Linked DNA regions of Macaca fascicularis. The protein of the gene in region 4 interacts with the protein of the main gene of each other region in a pairwise test. Links are inferred from orthologs where the notes say so. Each region holds a gene or a part of one and is shown on either strand. Other genes may lie near its edges.

The links.
Region 1: the proteins of STAU1 (region 4) and PPP1CA interact in a two-hybrid assay, tested with the Homo sapiens proteins (2 studies listed by BioGRID and IntAct). The link is inferred for Macaca fascicularis from reciprocal best matches to the Homo sapiens genes STAU1 and PPP1CA.
Region 2: the proteins of STAU1 (region 4) and LONRF1 interact in binary tests that used the Homo sapiens proteins (3 or more experiments, as listed by UniProt). The two-hybrid records come from large-scale screens. The link is inferred for Macaca fascicularis from reciprocal best matches to the Homo sapiens genes STAU1 and LONRF1.
Region 3: the proteins of STAU1 (region 4) and NXT1 interact in binary tests that used the Homo sapiens proteins (3 or more experiments, as listed by UniProt). The two-hybrid records come from large-scale screens. The link is inferred for Macaca fascicularis from reciprocal best matches to the Homo sapiens genes STAU1 and NXT1.

Annotation. Positions count from the first base shown.
Region 1 is NC_088388.1:6,974,329-6,979,196, forward strand, and holds the start of PPP1CA (serine/threonine-protein phosphatase PP1-alpha catalytic subunit), read left to right. Parts: upstream 1-1,571; 5' UTR 1,572-1,647; coding exon 1,648-1,702; intron 1,703-2,228; coding exon 2,229-2,360; intron 2,361-2,509; coding exon 2,510-2,740; intron 2,741-3,768; coding exon 3,769-3,873; intron 3,874-4,216; coding exon 4,217-4,440; intron 4,441-4,523; coding exon 4,524-4,658; intron 4,659-4,734; coding exon 4,735-4,845; 3' UTR 4,846-4,868. UniProt on the Homo sapiens protein: Protein phosphatase that associates with over 200 regulatory proteins to form highly specific holoenzymes which dephosphorylate hundreds of biological targets.
Region 2 is NC_088382.1:12,660,686-12,664,928, forward strand, and holds part of LONRF1 (LON peptidase N-terminal domain and RING finger protein 1), read right to left. Parts: coding exon 4,153-4,243; intron 1,730-4,152; coding exon 1,571-1,729; intron 1,461-1,570; coding exon 1,298-1,460; intron 1-1,297.
Region 3 is NC_088384.1:63,954,848-63,959,804, reverse strand, and holds the start of NXT1 (NTF2-related export protein 1), read left to right. Parts: upstream 1-1,851; 5' UTR 1,852-2,112; intron 2,113-4,957.
Region 4 is NC_088384.1:105,175,756-105,179,955, reverse strand, and holds the end of STAU1 (double-stranded RNA-binding protein Staufen homolog 1), read left to right. Parts: intron 1-1,007; coding exon 1,008-1,093; intron 1,094-1,997; coding exon 1,998-2,013; 3' UTR 2,014-3,545; downstream 3,546-4,200. UniProt on the Homo sapiens protein: Binds double-stranded RNA (regardless of the sequence) and tubulin.

The DNA.
Region 1 (4,868 bases), on a different chromosome or scaffold from region 4:
GGTCATGCTCTGTCACCCAGGCTGGAGTGTAATGGCAGGATCTGGGCTCACTGCAACCCCCACCTCCTGGTCTCAAGAGATCCTCCTGCCTCAGCCTCCCTAGTAGCTGGGACTGCAGGCGTGCACCACCATGCCCAGCTAATTTTTGTATTTTTTTGTTGAGATGAGGTTTCGCCGTGTTGCCCAGGCTGGACGCAAGAGACCATCCCACCTCAGCCTCCCAAAGTGCTGGAATTACAGGCCTAAGCCGCCACAGCAGGCCCACCTCCAGTTCTGAGGTTACTGGCATGTAAAGCACCCAACTCAGGGTTCCAACAAGAATTAAGGTTAATTTATCGTCTGCTCCTTTGAGACAGAGTCTCACACTGTCACCTCGGCTAGGGGGTGCAATGGGCCTTGGCCCACTGCAACCTCCGCCTCCCAGGTTCAAGTGATTCTCCTGCCTCAGCCTCCCCAATAGCTGAGATTACAGGCGGCTGCCATCATGCCCAGCTAACTTTTTGTATTTTTAGAGAGATGGGGTTTCACCATGTTGGCCAGGCTGGTCTTGAACTCCTGACCTCAAACGATCCTCCCACCTCAGCCTCCCAAAGCGCTGGAATTACAGGCGTGAGCCACTGCACCCAGCCATGTCTGCTCATATAGTAATTCTTTTTACGTGCACACCCTGCAATATTACTGTGCTACTCAAAAGCTAATTATGGGGCCAGGCTTGTTGGCTCACGCCTGTAACCCCCCCAGGACTTTGGGAGGTCGAGGCCAGTGGATCACTTGAGGTTAGGAGTTCAAGACCAGCCGGGCCAATATGGCGAAACCCCACCTCTGCTAAACACACAAAAACCAGGCGCAGTGGCGCGCGCCTGCAATCCCAGCTACTCCAGAGGCTGAGGCAGGAGAACCCCTTGAACCTGGGAAGCGAATGTTGCAGTGAGCCAAAGTCGCGCCACTGCACTCCAGCTTAGGCGACAAAGCAAAACTCTGTCTCAAAAAAAATAAATAAATAAAAGCTAATTATGGGACTTGTAAGAAAATATTAATTTATCATGCCCCAAGGACCAAAGTGCGCTGGAAGTTCAGCCGTAGCTGTCTTTGAGTGTGGTCAGCCGCCTGGGGGCCACGGAGACCCACGAAAAAGGGGGTCGTACGTGAATGCGAGGTCCAGGTCTTGCACCAGTCTGTTCATATCTCTTGAGCCTCAGTTTCCTTTCCTGCACTTCGAGCAGTTAACCCTCAGTGCCTAGCAGCCGGTTATTAATATGTTCACAACACCCTCCACCCAGGGCAGGGGTGGGAACGGCTGTTCTGCTTTTGAAAGAGAAAAACAACTTCCACAGTTCTTCCGGCCCCACATCCTCTGAACCGGGCTGGGCGCCTCCTCTGGGGCGTAACCAGTTGGACGCGCCCCCGACAGACCCCGCCCCCAGCCCGCCGCCAAGGCCCCGCCCCCCGGGCCGCGGCGCTTCACGTCCAGCGGGGGCGCTAGAGCGCGGGGGACCGGGCGGGGCGGGCCCGGGAGGCCCGGAGGCGGGGCCGCGGGCCGGGGGCGGACTGGGGCGGGCGGAAGGAGAGCCAGGCCGGAAGGAGGCTGCCGGAGGGCGGGAGGCAGGAGCGGGCCCGGAGCTGCTGGGCTGGAGCGGCGGCGCCGCCATGTCCGATAGCGAGAAGCTCAACCTTGACTCGATCATCGGGCGCCTGCTAGAAGGTTGGTCGCGGCGGGGGAGGCCTGCGTCCGCCGCTCCCGGGCCCCCTGCCGGGCCCGGAAGTGGCGCGCGGGCGGGCCCCCGGGGCCAGCTTAGACTGGGCGGGGACGGGCCGCGAGGTTCGGTGGCCGCAGCCGCCCCCCCGCGGACGCGCCTGAGAGGTCCTGGGCCCGCTCCGACGCGCGGAGCAGCCCCCTCTCCCGGGCCGGGGGCGCACGGGTTGCCTGGGTTCTTGAGGCGAGGGAGAAACCCGGGAAGCCCGGTCCAGGAAGGGGTCCTGCGCTGTGAGGTGTTTGGGTGGCAGCCCCCTGCGCACGACAGTCGCCTCCCGAGGCGCTGAGGGTAGTTGGGGGCTTCCCTTGGGAGGCTTGAGGCCGAGGTCCCGGGAGGCTCAGCAGCAACAGCTGCCTGCGGGCAAGGAGCAGCCGAGGAGGCCTAGGCGCCCCCGGAGGTATCCATGGGGCCACCCGTGTCGCCCACCCTCCTCCTGTCAGGGTCCCGGGTCTTGACACCCCATTGCGCCCCCAGTGCAGGGCTCGCGGCCTGGCAAGAATGTACAGCTGACAGAGAACGAGATCCGCGGCCTGTGCCTGAAATCCCGGGAGATTTTCCTGAGCCAGCCCATTCTTCTGGAGCTGGAGGCACCCCTCAAGATCTGCGGTGAGCCCCCCGACCCAGGTCCCCTTGCTTTCCTGAAAGTGGCACTGGCCCCCACAGAGTTCCTGGAGTCCTCCTCCCTTGAGCCCAGTCCTGGTCCTGGGTTCAGGTCTAGACCCTGCATCTAGCTTACCCGATTCCCTGGGTCACAGGTGATATACACGGCCAGTACTATGACCTTCTGCGACTATTTGAGTATGGCGGTTTCCCTCCGGAGAGCAACTACCTCTTTCTGGGGGACTATGTGGACAGGGGCAAGCAGTCCTTGGAGACCATCTGCCTGCTGCTGGCCTATAAGATCAAGTACCCCGAGAACTTCTTCCTGCTCCGTGGGAACCACGAGTGCGCCAGCATCAACCGCATCTACGGTTTCTACGATGAGTGTGAGTGGTCTGAGCGTCTGGGGCTGCCCGGGTCCTGAACCACACTCCTTGTCATTCAGTGGGACCTTCACATTGGCCTGATATCTGACAGACACTTGCTAAGACTGTGCACTCCACGAAGGCAGGGCCCAGGTCCGTTCTTGTGCCTGCCCTGCCCCTCCTGGCATGGGGTCTGGGGAATGGTTGCTGACTGAAGGACTGTCCGTATTCTAGTGCTTTCCCCCAGGGCCCTGCCTGGTGACGTTCCCTCTACATTTGCTACTAAGCATTTAGGATGTTTGCAGATGAGCTCTGCTGTCCAGAAGCTGAGATAAACCAGACCTGTACTTGGCCCGGCTCGTGGGCCGGGGCGTGCAAGGAGTGCCAACCCTGAGGCTGGTCCAGATTGGAACTCAGTTTCCAGTGGACTCGGGTGCTTTAGAATTACTTCTGGTGGGAGGCTGAGGCGGGAAGATCACTTGGACTCAGAAGCTCCAAGTTACAGTGAGCTATGATCTTGCCAATGCACTCCAGCCTGGGTGACTGAACAAGACCCTGTTTCTTTACTTTTTTGAGACGGAGTTTCGCTCTTGTTGCCCAGGCTGGAGTGCAGTGGTGTGATCTCAGTTCACCACAACCTCCATCTCCCGGGTTCAAGCGATTCTCCTGCCTCAGCCTCCCGAGTAGCTGGGATTACAGGCATGCGACACCACGCCTGGCTAATTTTTTTGTATTTTAGTAGAGACAGGGTTTCTCCATGTTGGTCAGGCTGGTCTTGAACTTCTGACCTCAGGTGATCTGCCTGCTTCAGCCTCCCAAAGTGCTGGGATTACAGGTGTGAGCCACCATGCCCTGCCCAGATCCTGTTTGTTTAAATTACAAATTAAAATAAAAAGTAACTAGAATTACTCCTGGAAGGCTGACAGGCGGCAGGGGTGGGGGTGGTTTGCATTGGTGCCTGACTCTCTCCCATCTGCGGCTGAATAGCCCAGAGACCCCGGCTAAGGGTGGAGCAGGCAGACCCCTCACAGCTACCTCCCTCTGGGCAGGCAAGAGACGCTACAACATCAAACTGTGGAAAACGTTCACTGACTGCTTCAACTGCCTGCCCATTGCGGCCATAGTGGACGAAAAGATCTTTTGCTGCCACGGAGGTGAGCTCTCCTTAGTTGTCATCTGGGAAGTCACTCCTTTCAGGAAGTGTCTCCCATACCCCCCTGTGCTGGGCTGCACTCACTTCCTTGATGTGCATTCTACATGGGGCGGGCTTGTCTCCTTTCTCCCAGGAGCTCTGTGCTCCGGAGGCCAGGGGCGCCTTTGTGCCTGTTTGGGAACTTGAAAAAGCTGAGGGGAAGGGGATGGCTTCTGCCTGCCTGGGCACCCAGGAGACCAGTGGAGGGACCAGGAGGGTGGTGGAAAAGTGAGGCTCACTGGCCAAGGCTTCCTGGAGGAAGGATGTCCTTGTTTGAGGAAGTGACCTTCCTTCTGGCCCTCCAGGCCTCTCCCCGGACCTGCAGTCCATGGAGCAGATTCGGCGGATCATGCGGCCCACAGACGTGCCTGACCAGGGCCTGCTGTGTGACCTGCTCTGGTCTGACCCTGACAAGGACGTGCAGGGCTGGGGCGAGAACGACCGTGGCGTCTCTTTTACTTTTGGAGCCGAGGTGGTGGCCAAGTTCCTCCACAAGCACGACTTGGACCTCATCTGCCGAGCACACCAGGTGGGCTGGTGGCTCCCGTCTGTGGTGGGGGAAGGGGAGGGCCTTGCCTGCACTTGGGACTGACTGCTCCGATCCTCACCCAGGTGGTAGAAGATGGCTATGAGTTCTTTGCCAAGCGGCAGCTGGTGACACTTTTCTCAGCTCCCAACTACTGTGGCGAGTTTGACAATGCTGGCGCCATGATGAGCGTGGACGAGACCCTCATGTGCTCCTTCCAGGTGAGTGTGGGGAAGAAAGGAGCTACTAGGCCCCGTGGCTCAGCCCCATGAGCCTGACCAACCCTGTCTCTTTTAGATCCTCAAGCCCGCCGACAAGAACAAGGGGAAGTACGGGCAGTTCAGTGGCCTGAACCCTGGGGGCCGGCCCATCACCCCACCCCGCAATTCCGCCAAAGCCAAGAAATAGCCCCTGCACCCCGCGCCTGTGCC
Region 2 (4,243 bases), on a different chromosome or scaffold from region 4:
ATACATATAGTCATGTAATTTAGCCATATACTCAAGTGATTTTGTCATCAAATCCAATATGTGAAGACATAACTTTACATGAAACTGAAATAGGGTTATTAACTTTACAAAGGAGAACCTTTAGCAAGTGATTCCATTAATTAAGTATGCTTAAGGTTGGCACAGATTATACCAATCAACTCAAAATTTCAACTTACACAATACTTTTGGCCAACTGCACAGGGCAAAGTACCCCAATGCATTTTTATAATAAGATAGGACAGCCAACGTCAGACTAATCAGGTTTATCAGCAGAGAGCCAAATGGCATAATGCTAAAGCTCAGAGCCTGAGTCAGAGAGTTTGCTTTAATCATTTTTGTTACATTATAGGATCTTAGGCAAATTAACACCTCTGAATTATACTTTCCTCATCTACTATTTCATAGAGTTGTGAAAATTCTATGAGTTAATGTTTGTGAAAATACCTAATGCCAATATCCAATAAATGTTAACTGAAATGAAGGGCCTAAACAGATCAATGAACAAGTGACGGGATAAGATCTGTTTTTATAATGCCTTTCCAAAAGAAATTGCCTTCAATTTGGTATTTATAGCATCACAAGTCATTTTTCTGGTTCCTAAACTAACTGCAGTAGGTAAACTGGGTATTGCAAACATCAAAAGGGCCACATTAACCCTATTCTAGAAAGACATCACAAAACCGCTACCCTGCTAAGATATCACCAACATGTACACTGACAGTGCTTTCTATGTCTGCCCCAGGGTCTTCACACAGCATTCAACTCTATTTTATCATTAAGGTTATCTTAGGCACAAGAACAATCTGAGTATATAAAACAATTCCTACAAGACTTGATGTGTTTACATTTACATGAAGTTTCAATCTACTAATTCCATCAGCTTCAACTACTAATACATTCAATAAAACAGGGCAGAAATGTAAACCTTTCAAAACTTAGATGGGCTGGAAGTTCAACTTAACCACTATTAAGTACCTATCATGTGTATACACACATGCACATGTGTACATATACACATACATTCTAGGGCACTGGGCTGGTTGTTAAGCCTGTAGAAATAAAGAGAATCTATGTTCTAGTCTTCCAAGTTCTCTCAGAATGTGCAACAATTGCAGAGCAAGATACGAAAAAGGTAACTTGGAGCGCATTCTCAACAGTGGTAAGGCTCTCTGATAAGAAGAACTGGTTCATGCGCCTAGAAAATAGCCTGCATGCCTGTACCAATCCCTGGAACAGGATACACTAAAGTATGCTGGCAAAGCACATTTTAAAATACCTTAACATCTTCCAGATATTCAATGTCGGCAGTGCAATATCCATCTTTCATTCCTCTTTTTAAAACCCTAAACCGCTTTCCTCCAACTGTATCAACCACAGACCTTCCATCAGGTAAGAAATGCACATTTCTAATTTGTAACATACAACCATAATCTGCAAAACTAAAAGAAAACCTTGATTAGTAACAAAGTGGAAACATAAACATGCAAGTTCTCATCCATATTGACAGGTCTAACATAAATACAAATATTTTAGTTCACAAAAAGCATACCTATTTTGTGTATCACTGACACACATGCCAAACTGTTTGGTTCCAGTCTGTATACTTCTTCGAATCATCAATCTATATCTTGGCTCAAATACATGGAGAGGGCAAGGCACAGTGGGGTAGGCCATAGTGCAAACAAATATTGGAACATTCTTGGTCAAGCTGAGGGAAAAACAGTTTAATTATTGAGTTCATACAAGAAAAATATTACCAAACACACACAAAAAATGAGTGAGGTTTATAACAGTAATGAACTAATGTAAAACAAAAAAAGAATAAGTTCTAAATAAGGTGGTTTTTATTCTTGGCAAGAACAAGAATCAGCACCCCGTTCATTAAGCTCACACTGATGAAATATTAATACTAAAAATCTGCTGTGATCCTCTTACTTATAAGAGTAAATTGAATTTTAAGACACCAGATTATCTTACAGAGCTAAGTATCTTTATGAATCAATTTATTATAATATTTTATATTAAAATCTGTTTAAATATTTATAACATATGACAATAAATATCTTTTATCCAAACACTTATAGTTACTCTTAGATAACAGTAAGAAAAAGTGAACTCCCACAACAGACAAAAAGCAAATAATTAAAAATTCTTAGGCATTAAAGTATTTTCAAACGCAAGATCAGAAAACATATTCTGATGAGATAACATTTTTTCCAAGTAATTAAAATGATATAACATTTTTCATTGCCAGAGTGGTAGAAAGAAAGAGAAGGATAAAGGCAATGCCCAGTCCTGTCTTAGATATGGGAAAACTGGCAGCATGGGGGCAGTCTGAAACAGCACAGGCACACTAAAGAACATGGCTACAGACAGCAGAAACCTTATGTTGTTGGCAGGAAATGTTCATGTTCTTGGAACCAACCAGCTTATTTTCAGACATGAGTGGACAAGTGCTACATGAATGTTCACTGTAGCAATGTAGGTAGTAACCAAAATGTAGAAGCATAAAGAGGAGACTAGTAAGATCAATTATGGTACATCGGTAAAACAGAATACTATGTTTCCATTAAAAGATGATGTGTATGAACTGAATTAGAAGAAATGCTTCTATCAATGAGAGGAACAGGTTTTAGATATAGATCATGAATAACATGATCCCACCTTTGTGTAAAGCCTGTTTATACATACTGCATTCAAGTTTGGAAATACGTATGTCAAAATGCCAATAGTTGATTCCCTTTGGGTTGCAGATTATGGCTTTTTTTAAAATGCTCATTTGTATTTTTGAGTTTTTTTCAAAATGACCATCAATTACTTATATACACATAAGATGAAACATGTGTAAAATATGTATTTTAAAAAACAGCCCCATTAGTAAGCAGCTGGACACCCTGACGCTTCTCTTCTCTCCAACACGCAGCTCTCTGTGTGTGACTCCCTCCTCTGTCCTTTGAGTCTACCACTCCTCTGTGGGCGGGCTGGTTGTGTCACTGTGTTTAAATTTTCAAAAGTAAAACTGCAGCTTTCTTAAATCTAGATGCTTCAGCATTGATCAGAAAGGTTCATGATTGTCACATCAGAGTATTTTGTAAATCACACAATAAAATACCAATTCTGTAAGAAGACAAATCAATATCTATTTCTATAAAGAAAAGAGTGGCAATCTTTCTTCTACGGAGGGCCCCTGGCTCACTGAAGACATCTGATGGACACATGTTGAAAAAGGAGAGTCTACAAGCACAGCTTTTGTTAGAAAGTGACATATAAAATGTTCAATTTATATTTTGAAAAGTAATGGAAACAAAAAGTTGTTAAATAAATAAAACAGCATACAAAAATTATAATTTTGCTTTTTAGTGTGTTCAATTAAAAGAGAGTAAAAGAAATAAAGAAATTTAAAACCCATGAATAAAATTTAAAGAGACCCAAGTGACTGGTCAGAGGGAAAGACATTTAGGGAAAAGAAAGGGAGAAAAATGGGAAAGAAAAACAGAAAAGAGACAACGAGCAATGCCTTGCCCTGCCTACCCAGCTCCATCAGCTGCTGTGTTCTCTGCGGAGTGGTCTGAATTACCAAATCCCAAAGTTACCTCTGAGATTTTCACCCTCCCGACACCAACTCAGTTGTGCTCCCAGTCAGTATCTTCATTAAGGGAGGATTTGGCCCTGAACACCTCTCTTCCAATTTCAATCTCAGATCTCAAAGTTTGGAAAGCCCCTTCCGGGCCTCCATGTGACAGAAAATCCCCTGCCAATCTAGGTTACTGACCCTAGACCTTCCTCTCGCCCTACTATGACACATGAGAGCTGCCATCACCACCAATGTCACTGTCACTGGCGCCCCCTCTCTATTTCCCATTCCACTGCCTGATGGCACTGTAGGAAATTCCTCCTCCGCCTAAAATACTGCTTCAGCCCACAGAGCTGAGTCAACCACTCCCTGTAAAACATCCGGATGTTACCAAGTGAACTTTTATAAAATTCTGTCTGTTGAGGACCACAGAAACTGACCAGTACTTCTTGACTAGACTGAGATGAACTACAGACAGGATCCAGCTTGCGGTGAGGTTTTCCCTTACTATTAAAGGGTAGTAGTTCATAATTTTTTTTTTATGAGAAGAAACTTACTGTGAGAGTTCAGCAGTTTCTTCATCATATATTTTTTTTCTCTCAGACAGTTCATCAGGCAGATACTTCACTATTAATTCTTCCAACAGCT
Region 3 (4,957 bases), about 41 Mb from region 4:
TCATAGGGGGAATAAAAGCCAGGGTTGCTTCCAAAGAGAGCAGGGAGTGTGTTGAGGACAGATCATCACAACCATGCAGTTGAGGAGCAATGATTTGAACCCAGGCTTGTCTGTTCATTCAGACAGTATTTATTGAGCCCTTGCTATGGGTCAGGCACAACTCTATATGCTGGAGACACAAACCTAAAAGGACCCTAACCTAAAAGGCAGACCCCACAAACCTACAAGGCAGAACAGCTGCCTCTCAAGGCTAAAGTCTCGCATTTTTAAAAGGCCTTGGAGCTTCATTAACGTTCTTCTAACGTCCTAATGTTCTTCTAACCAGCTTTTCTAGGTATGAATTGACCCTGTGACACCAGGATGGTTCTTTGTCAGCCTCTTTGTCTATGAAATCAGAAATAATGGTACCTCCCCCAATAAGTTATGTGAAAGAAATGAAAGGGACTTATTATATATGAAACAAAAGCAGCACAACATCCAAACTACTGAGCGTGCAGTAGATCAACTCTCATTCCCACTTCCATTCCATCCATGCCGATTTAGATCAATCCAAGTATCACTGCCTTGGGGTTCATAAAGTCATTTCAGTTCATAAAGCACCGCAAATGCTCCTTCACCCTCTCTGCTCAGCCTCCAACTTGTCCTTTTAATAATCCAAACTCTCCACCTACTTAACTGAAGTGTGTGCGTGGGGTGGGGGGGAGGGAGCGGGGGGGGGGAGGGGTGGCCTATACTAAACAGCCCAACTGTTTTCAATGTGTCCTGAAATCTGAGACCAAGATTCTCTTAGGAATGCAAGCAAAGGGAGCCGATGGGACGCCAAGAAAGCACAGGTTAAACTACTTCACTTCATCTAGCCCCAGTTCTCTCCTGGCTTTGCAATTAATTTTTCAGCCTCAGACCAGCAGATGGAGCTGAAAATGTTGTCTAAAGAAATGAGGTTTTTCTTTTAATTTACAAGCTACAGTTTCTCAAACCTCCACACTGAATGGTTATATCCTGTTGAGCCTGTTGGTAAAGTTCAGTAAAAATCCAGTCCTCATTCCAGAACAGCTGAAACTTAGCTAGGGACGCGGAATAACAGAATCCCAACTCCTGACGGGCCCGCGTTTCCCGGGACACCTCAGGCCTCAGGGCAGTGGGAAGCCGCCGTCAAGCCCCCGCCTCACCCACGTCCTACCCTCGCCCCAGTCTCCTCCCACTCTTAGCTACATTTCCCATGTGACTAAAACTGGCTTTCTCTGTGTCCACCAGGACATCGCCTCTAAGTGGCTTAAGCTCCTAAGGAGCGCGATCGGCTCAGGCACTCCGCCACGCGCATGCCACAGGGCGCGGCCGGCCTTGCCCTCGCTGTGGCCTCAAGCACCGCGGCGCCTCACATGTTGCCATACGGAAGGCCTCGGCTGGGTCAGGCAGCTGCTGCTGGCCGTGACTGCATCAAGTAGTGACGTTTCACGAGCCTTTTAACTGAAATCACTCCAATACAAGGGCATGCGGGACTAGGTGAAAGCACTTCACCCAACCCCACACAACGTCCCCTCCCTCTCCAGCCAAGCGGCCTCCTCGCAGCGGAAAGAACAGCGAGGATCTAGGGGCGGGACCTGAGAGGTTTGGCCCAATCAGGGATCCCACCTAACCAGACGGGCCGGGGTCTGTGACCCTGTTGGACCAATAAAAACTCGACGGCGGATTTGCCGGGGTTTCTGGGAAGGTGACACTCCCGGAAGCTACCACCTCTTATAAGCCACACACGGGCGGAGATAGCCTTCCGGCTCGCAGTCCCACTGGCTAACCTCGCTGCCCGTCACGGGAATGCGAGAGGGGGCGGGGCCGGAGCGCTCGCGTCTGCGCGGAGTCCGGCTAGCAGCGCGCGGGAAGCCGCGGAACTGCGCCGGAAAGTCCCCAGGCTGTGGGGCCCCGGTGACCCAGAGTAAGCCTCCAAGAAGGAAGAGGAGGGAAGAAAGGCGGCTCTTCCCGTGCCCCTACCCGAGGCCTCGGTGGGCCCACCCTGTGACCTCCGCGGCCGGCCCCTCGGTGGAGCTGCGGCCCGCGCGGGGGGCATCCCGACCGTGGGCGCAGCGGCCCGCGCTGACCCTGGACGTCGCCGCGCAGGTAGGTTGCAGTCCCCCCGGCGGTCTGACCCCGGAGACAGCCTCTCGTGCATACCCCACGCCCTCCTCCATTGTCGGGAATAAGACACGGCTGTACCTTTGTCCACGTGGTAGAGTTGCCTCTCTACTGTGCAAAACGCGTGGCAGCGAATTCTCTTCAATGAGGAGAGGCGCGTCCCCTCGCAGAGCAGCTCTCGGGTCTGAGGAGGGCAGGGCAGGGCGTGCGTCTGTCTAGGTTTGAATTAAAGGCGACTCGCAGGAAATGCCACTGTGGTAGCTTCTCCCGTCCAGCTCTGGACACTCGACGGTGCGGGCCGTGGGAGGAGGCGGCGATCTTCACAGCCTCTTACTCCAGTCCTCAAGGTCTGGTTCTTTTTCTGATTTGACGCAGCGGGGCTGACAGCCCCATAGGTAACTGAGAACCAAAAGTGGAGATGGTCCTTCTATGGAGTGTGGGGGCGTGGCCAATTGTTAGATTGTGTTTGGAAGGACAGCCAGGGGCGGGGAAGAGGGGCATTTCTGAGATGATGGGGGGACTGGTGCCATGGAGGGAAGAGGAGTGAGGTGGAGATCGGGAATTCCAGCCAAAGAGAAATGGGGTCCCTGGGAGAAAATTCCCACTCCGGCAGTCCTGGAGTTGTCCTCATGGAGACTTGCTTACGCGAGTAAAAGGACAGCATCGTCTTGACAAAATTTCAGCCCTCAGTCTAGTCTTGTAAATGATAGATCAGGAATGCTCTTAACCGTCATTACCTTGATCCAGCCCTAGGTTTCCCTTTTCTCATTTGTAAAATTGTTATAGTAATACCTTTTTCATTCATTTGTGGTGACATTTAAATGAGGTAATATATGTGAAGCTCTTAGCAAACACAGCGCTGCTTCTTCGTGGGTTCCGCGTGGGGTGGATTCAACCAACCTCAAATCAAAAATACTCTTCAGAAAAAGAAAAATGCCTTTGTACTGAACATGTAGAGGCTTTTTTTTCTTGTCATTATTTCCTAAACTATACAGTATAACAACTATTTACATCCCTTCTACATTGTATTAGGTGTTATAAGTTACCTACAGGTGATTAAGGTACATAGGAGGATGCTGCGCATACGTTGTATCAAACAGTACACCGTTCTATCAGGGACTTCAGCATCAGCAGGTGTTGGTATCCTCGGGGGTCCTGAATACAGTTCCTCACAGATACCGAAGGACCGCTGTACTTAGTTCAGAGTACAGTTGAGGCTTCACTTTGAGGTCTGTGGAGGGCGTGGAAAGACCCAGGTCTGAAATTGGCTCTTAACTGCTCATTTTTAGGACAGCTTCCCTCCCAGCCAGCCCTTTACCAGAGGCAATGCACCACCTTTGCAGCCGTTAAAAGAACCTGGCTCTTTCCAGCCCTATGTGGAATGTTTTATCGCTTTCATAAGCTAATCATTTAAAAAAAAGGTCTTTTTTTGAAATGAAAAAAAAAAAAATCACTATTTAAGTTTGTAAGTATAAACTATTTTAGTAATGTCCTCTATTTTAGTAATCCAGTATTTTAGTAATGTCTTCTATTTTAAGTGAAATATTTTAATTATGGAGAAAATAACGTAACAGTTGTACCTGTACCCTGAAAAAAGTAAATGTCAATTTTTTTTTATGCTTTTTACTTTTTTATTGGGGGGACAGTGTGACATTTCAGCTATAGTACACATTCTGTGCCCACACACCCAAGAACTTTGAAATTTAACATGTCTTTCTGTGGAGGCACTGTGGCTCCACAGGACTGATGTGGTGGATATTAGTACCTATGTAAGCTGGGTGTCCTCCCTTCTAATCCCCACTCACCCAAGAGATTTGCTGCTTCCAGTTTACCATGGGGATTATGGCTGCCATTTTGGTTCTGTCCTCATGTCATTTGTGTTTCTACCCTCTTAAGAAACCTGCCTTCTCTGCCCTCCTGGTTCCTCTTGAGTGAGCTCCATGATAGACTTTCCCAGACTCAGCAGCTGACGAGCATTTCGTTGGTTTGGTTGGCCTTTATTGAGCCAGTGACCACTCTTCCCTTCTAAATGGTCCACTGTCTTTACCAAGGGGCAGTCATGTCTGTTGCAAGCATTCAGGAAAGAGTGGCCTTCCATAGTCAAATGTACTCTATTTTATAAAGTGTGATTTAAAAAATTAATGGTCCAGTCAGCCCTCCTCATCCTCTGGGAATTGATTCCAGCAGTCCCCCTACCCCTGCAACAGACCAAATCTGCTGATGCTCCAAGTTCTTGATATAAAATGGCGTTAAGGCCAGGCACGGTGGCTCATGACTGTAATCCCAGCACTTTGGGAGGCTGAGGCGGGCAGATCACCTGAGGTCAGGAATTTGAGACCAGACTGGCCAACATAGCGAAACCCTGTCTTTACTAAAAATACAAAAATTAGCCAAGCGTGGCGGTGGGCACCTGTAGTCCCAGCTACTTGGGAGGCTGAGGCAAGAGAATCCCTTGAACCTCGGAGGTGGGGGATTGCAGTGAGCCGAGATCATGCCACTGCACTCCAGCCTGGGTGACAGAGTGAGACTCAGTCTCAAAAACAAAAACAAAATGGCATAGCACAGTCAGCCCAATATATTTGCAGGTTTCGCCCTGAGGTTGCTTGAATCTGTGGATGCAAAACCCTCAGATATGGAGTGCTGACTATAACTAAATGTTTTTAACTAAACACAATGTATACTGTCTCAGTTTGCCACAGTGGTAATCCCATCTTAACAATGAGCAAACTGAGGCTTGGTAAAATTAGACATTTAGGTGTTGGGTACTATTTGAGCCTACAGTCATTGTTCTGCAGTCTGTAACTATTTTGCCAGTAGTAGAAAAGGAGGA
Region 4 (4,200 bases):
GCCTGTAGTCCCAGCTACTTGGGAGGCTGAGGCAGGAGAATGGCGTAAACCTGGGAGGCGGAGCTTGCAGTGAGCTGAGATCCGGCCACTGCACTCCAGCCTGGGCGACAGAGCAAGACTCAGTCTCAAAAAAAAAAAAAAAAAAGAAAACTCAGAAAAGGAATTGATCAGATTAACAAATCTAAGCAAACTGTGGTGTATTTACTTGATGGGACATCATGCATGCATGAAATTAATGTCTCTGGGTGGGGTGCGGTGGCTCACGCTATAATCCCAGCACTGCGGGAGGCTGAGGCGGGCGGATCACCTGAGCTCAGGAGTTCGAGACCAGCCTGGCCAATGTGGTGAGACCCCATTTCTACTAAAAATACAAAAAAATTAGCCAGGTGTGGTGGTGGGCGCCTGTAATCCCAGCTACTTGGGAGACAAGGTAGGAGAATCGCTTGAACCCAAGAGGTGGAGGTTGCAGTGAGCTAAGATCGCACTACTGCACTCCAGCCTGGGCAACTGGGTGAGACTCTGTTTCAAAACAAAACAACAAAACAGTGTCTCTGAAGATAACGTAATAAGAAAAATACATGATAGGCCGGGTGTGGAGGCTTACACCTGTAATCCCAGCACTTTGGGAGGATCGCTTGAGCCTAGGAGTTTGAGCCCAGCCTGGGCAACTTAACTTAGTGAGACCCTGTCTCTGTAGAAAGAAAAATACATGATAGATTTTTGTTAGAAAGCAGGATATAACATTTATACAGTCTGGTTACCACAAGGCTAAAAATACTAGAAGGCAAAATACAACATTTTCAGAGGTTATGATTCAATGAGGTAACTGAGTATTTTTTAAATTTGTATTTTAAATTAAAAATTCAAAGTTTTATTTAGTAGTACAAGAGTTTAAGAAGTTGCCACCTGTTTGCTGGGCAGCAGGAACTCTTGCCTGCCTAACCAGTGTATCATGCTGTGGTCCCAAGTGATGGCTGTGGCTTTACTCTTCTTTCCATCCCCACTAGGCTGCGCTGAACATCTTAAAGTTGCTGTCTGAGTTGGACCAACAAAGTACAGAGATGCCAAGAACAGGAAACGGACCAATGTCTGTGTGAGTGCACTGATGAAGGGGAGGCACTGATGATGGGGAGGCTGCCCCTCGTTTGTGTTGAGTTCACACCATCTGCTGACTCAGCGGGGAAATATTTGCCTGAGTTACTTTCTGGCCCTTTTGCCTGAAAGGTTTCCAAATTCTCTGGGCAGAGAGCTCTACTTTTAAAAAACATTTTGAGGCTGGGCACAGTGGCTCACGCCTGTAATCCCAGCACTTTGGGAGGCCGAGGTGGGTGGATCATGAGGTGTCAGGAGTTCAAGACCAGCCTGGCCAAGATGGTGAAACCCTGTCTCTACTAAAAATACAAAAATTAGCTGGGTGTGGTGGCAAATACCTGTAATCCCAGCTACTCGGGAGGCTGAGGCAGAGAACTACTTAAAACCTGGGAGGTGGAGGTTGCAGTGAGCCAAAATAGCACCACTGCACTCCAGCCTAGGCGACAGAGCAAGACTCTTTGTCTCAACAACAAAAAAAACCTTTTTACCTTTTTGAGTCGGTCATACCTTCACATGGTCAGAGCTCTCTTTTATTTTACAAGGTACAATCTTCTCCTCAGACAGCCCCCATCCCATCCCTCCTATTCTTCCCACTGCCTCCCCCATAGATCACATTTTTACTAGTTTCTCCTGTATCTTTCCTGTATGTTTCTTTATGCAAATATAGACATATATTTCTTCCCTCATTTTTTTCCTTTCCCCCCGCAGAGATAGCAAATACACACACTCTCCTTGCTTATTTTATTTACTGGCATATCCTGGGAAAACTTTTGTTATCATAAACTGGGGCTTTTAGTATTGTATATTGTACTTCCTGATGCTTGCCAATTTCTTTTCATTTTTAATAGTACTTTAATTCTCTTACATTTCAAAACTAGCATCATTTTCATTTTTCTTCCTTAAAGGTGTGGGAGGTGCTGAACCTTTTCTGGCCATGAACCATTAAAAAATCCCAACATATATACTGAAAATACTGAAACTGCTTTGAAAATTTGGAATTTCTGATACCTCCAGTGGGCCGAGAGACACGGTGGGTAAAGGATGTGGGCAGCAGCAGGGAAGACAACAGACACGAGGCGGCGGCTGTGGCCGGGCTGGACTGTGCTGGGGTTGTGACGGCCACTCGGTGACCTGGTGGTCCCTATGCAATAGCAGCTGCCTGTGGGGAAGAAGGGCTGCCCAGCCAGCTGGTTCTCCCGGGACACCAGCAGATCCACACCCTGGGCACCTCCGTGTTTGGTCTTTTTTTCCCCCTGTGTGAAAGAAGAAACAGCATGACCCTTTCTCAGGCTGGCTCACTCAGACACATTGGGACAAACCCTGGACAGCCATGCCAGAGAGAGGCCTTTGACCGGCCCCAGAGCTAAAAGCACCAGAGAAAATCAAATGCTTCCTACTCAGCGTGACCCAACTTTTCTAGCGTGCTATGGCCCCACCACCTCCTGCAGTACCCACACCATCACCACTGCTTTATCTTCCAACAGTGATCTGTATTCTTAGTTTCATTATTTTCTTTTGATTGATATGACACTATATAAAATTTTCATTTGAGAGTTTCTCAATTGTATCTAGTTATATAGCACAGTTTGGAAACTTGTCTGAGACTGACTTTATCAATAATCTAACCGACAAAGATCATATCCATGTGTATGTGGTTAGATATTTTTATTTAATTGACTAACCCAGGACAATTTCAGTGATGCAAATTGTGTGCCCTCTGGTTCTGCTGAAACAGTCCTGGACTTTCAAAAACCTTGAATAAGTCTCCCACAGTTGTATAAATTGGACAATTTAGGAATTTTAAACTTTAGATGATCATTTGGTTCCATTTTTATTTCTTTTTTATTTTTGTTAATGCAAACAGGACTTAAATGAACTTTGATCTCTGTTTTAAAGATTATTAAAAAAAATTGTGTATCTATACATACAGCTCTTGAGGACTTAGCTTTCACTACACTACAGGATATGATCTCCATGTAGTCCATATAAACCTGCAGACTGATTTTCCAGAGTGCTCGATACTGTTAATTACATCTCCATTAGGGCTGAAAAGAATGACCTACATTTCTCTATACAGCTGTGTTGCTTTTGATGTTGTGTTATTGTACACAGAAGTGTGTGCACTGAGGCTCTGCGTGTGGTCCATATGGAAAGCCTGGTAGCCCTGCGAGTTAAGTACTGCTTCCATTCATTGTTTACGCTGGAATTTTTCTCCCCATGGAATGTAAGTAAAACTTAGTGTTTGTCACCAATAAATGGTAATACTAAATTTTTTTTGTTAATTTATTCTCAAATGCCACTACTGCTAGGTTGGTCCCCTCCCAACTTGCCCCTATCCTTTTTTTATTTTTAAGAAAAAACTTTGTAATGCTTGTGATTCCATCTGGGCAAAAATCTGAAGATCTGAAATAACTTTATATCAAACCATTGATCAATAAACAGCTACTAATGAAGTGTTTGGTCCTGTTGAGCAGTAACTAAAATAAGGGAAGATGTGAGTAAGGGGATGGAAGCTCGTCGTGGGGGACCAGGGCCAGCCCCTGCGGGAACCGTTGCTGCCTCTCAGGCATGTTGGGTACCTGGATGTAGGGACTTGTGCCCCGTCCAGACCTGACATTGCTACCCAAAGAAATGACCCCAAGGATCTGAGGGGAGACTGCCGGACACTTCCCAGGGCACCCTCATCTCTCACCATACTGAGTACTGAGGAGGACATGCGTTCCAGCCTGGTTGAGGGGTGGGCTAGTTGGTTTTCGTTTCTTAATTTTAGAAGAAGTGGAAGAAGATTGTAAAGGTTTCACTATAAATCCAGCCGATGAGTGTACTGCCAGAATAATTGAAAGTGATCAGAAGGTTATGGAAAACGCTAAGGGCAGAAGGAAATGCAACATTTTGAGGATAAAAGCAATGAAAGGAGAAAAAGTGTCTTTACATCTTTAGAAACAACAAAAAAAGGATTCATGGACCTGTGACTCACATCACAACCCTCCCCCAGACTGAAGGTTCTTCGAGCAGCTGAGCCTGGGGCCCTGACTTGATGCACTTTCGCAGGGAGTGTACGTGGTGGCAGCGACACTGGAAGCCGACCAGTGTGATCTTTTGTGTCTC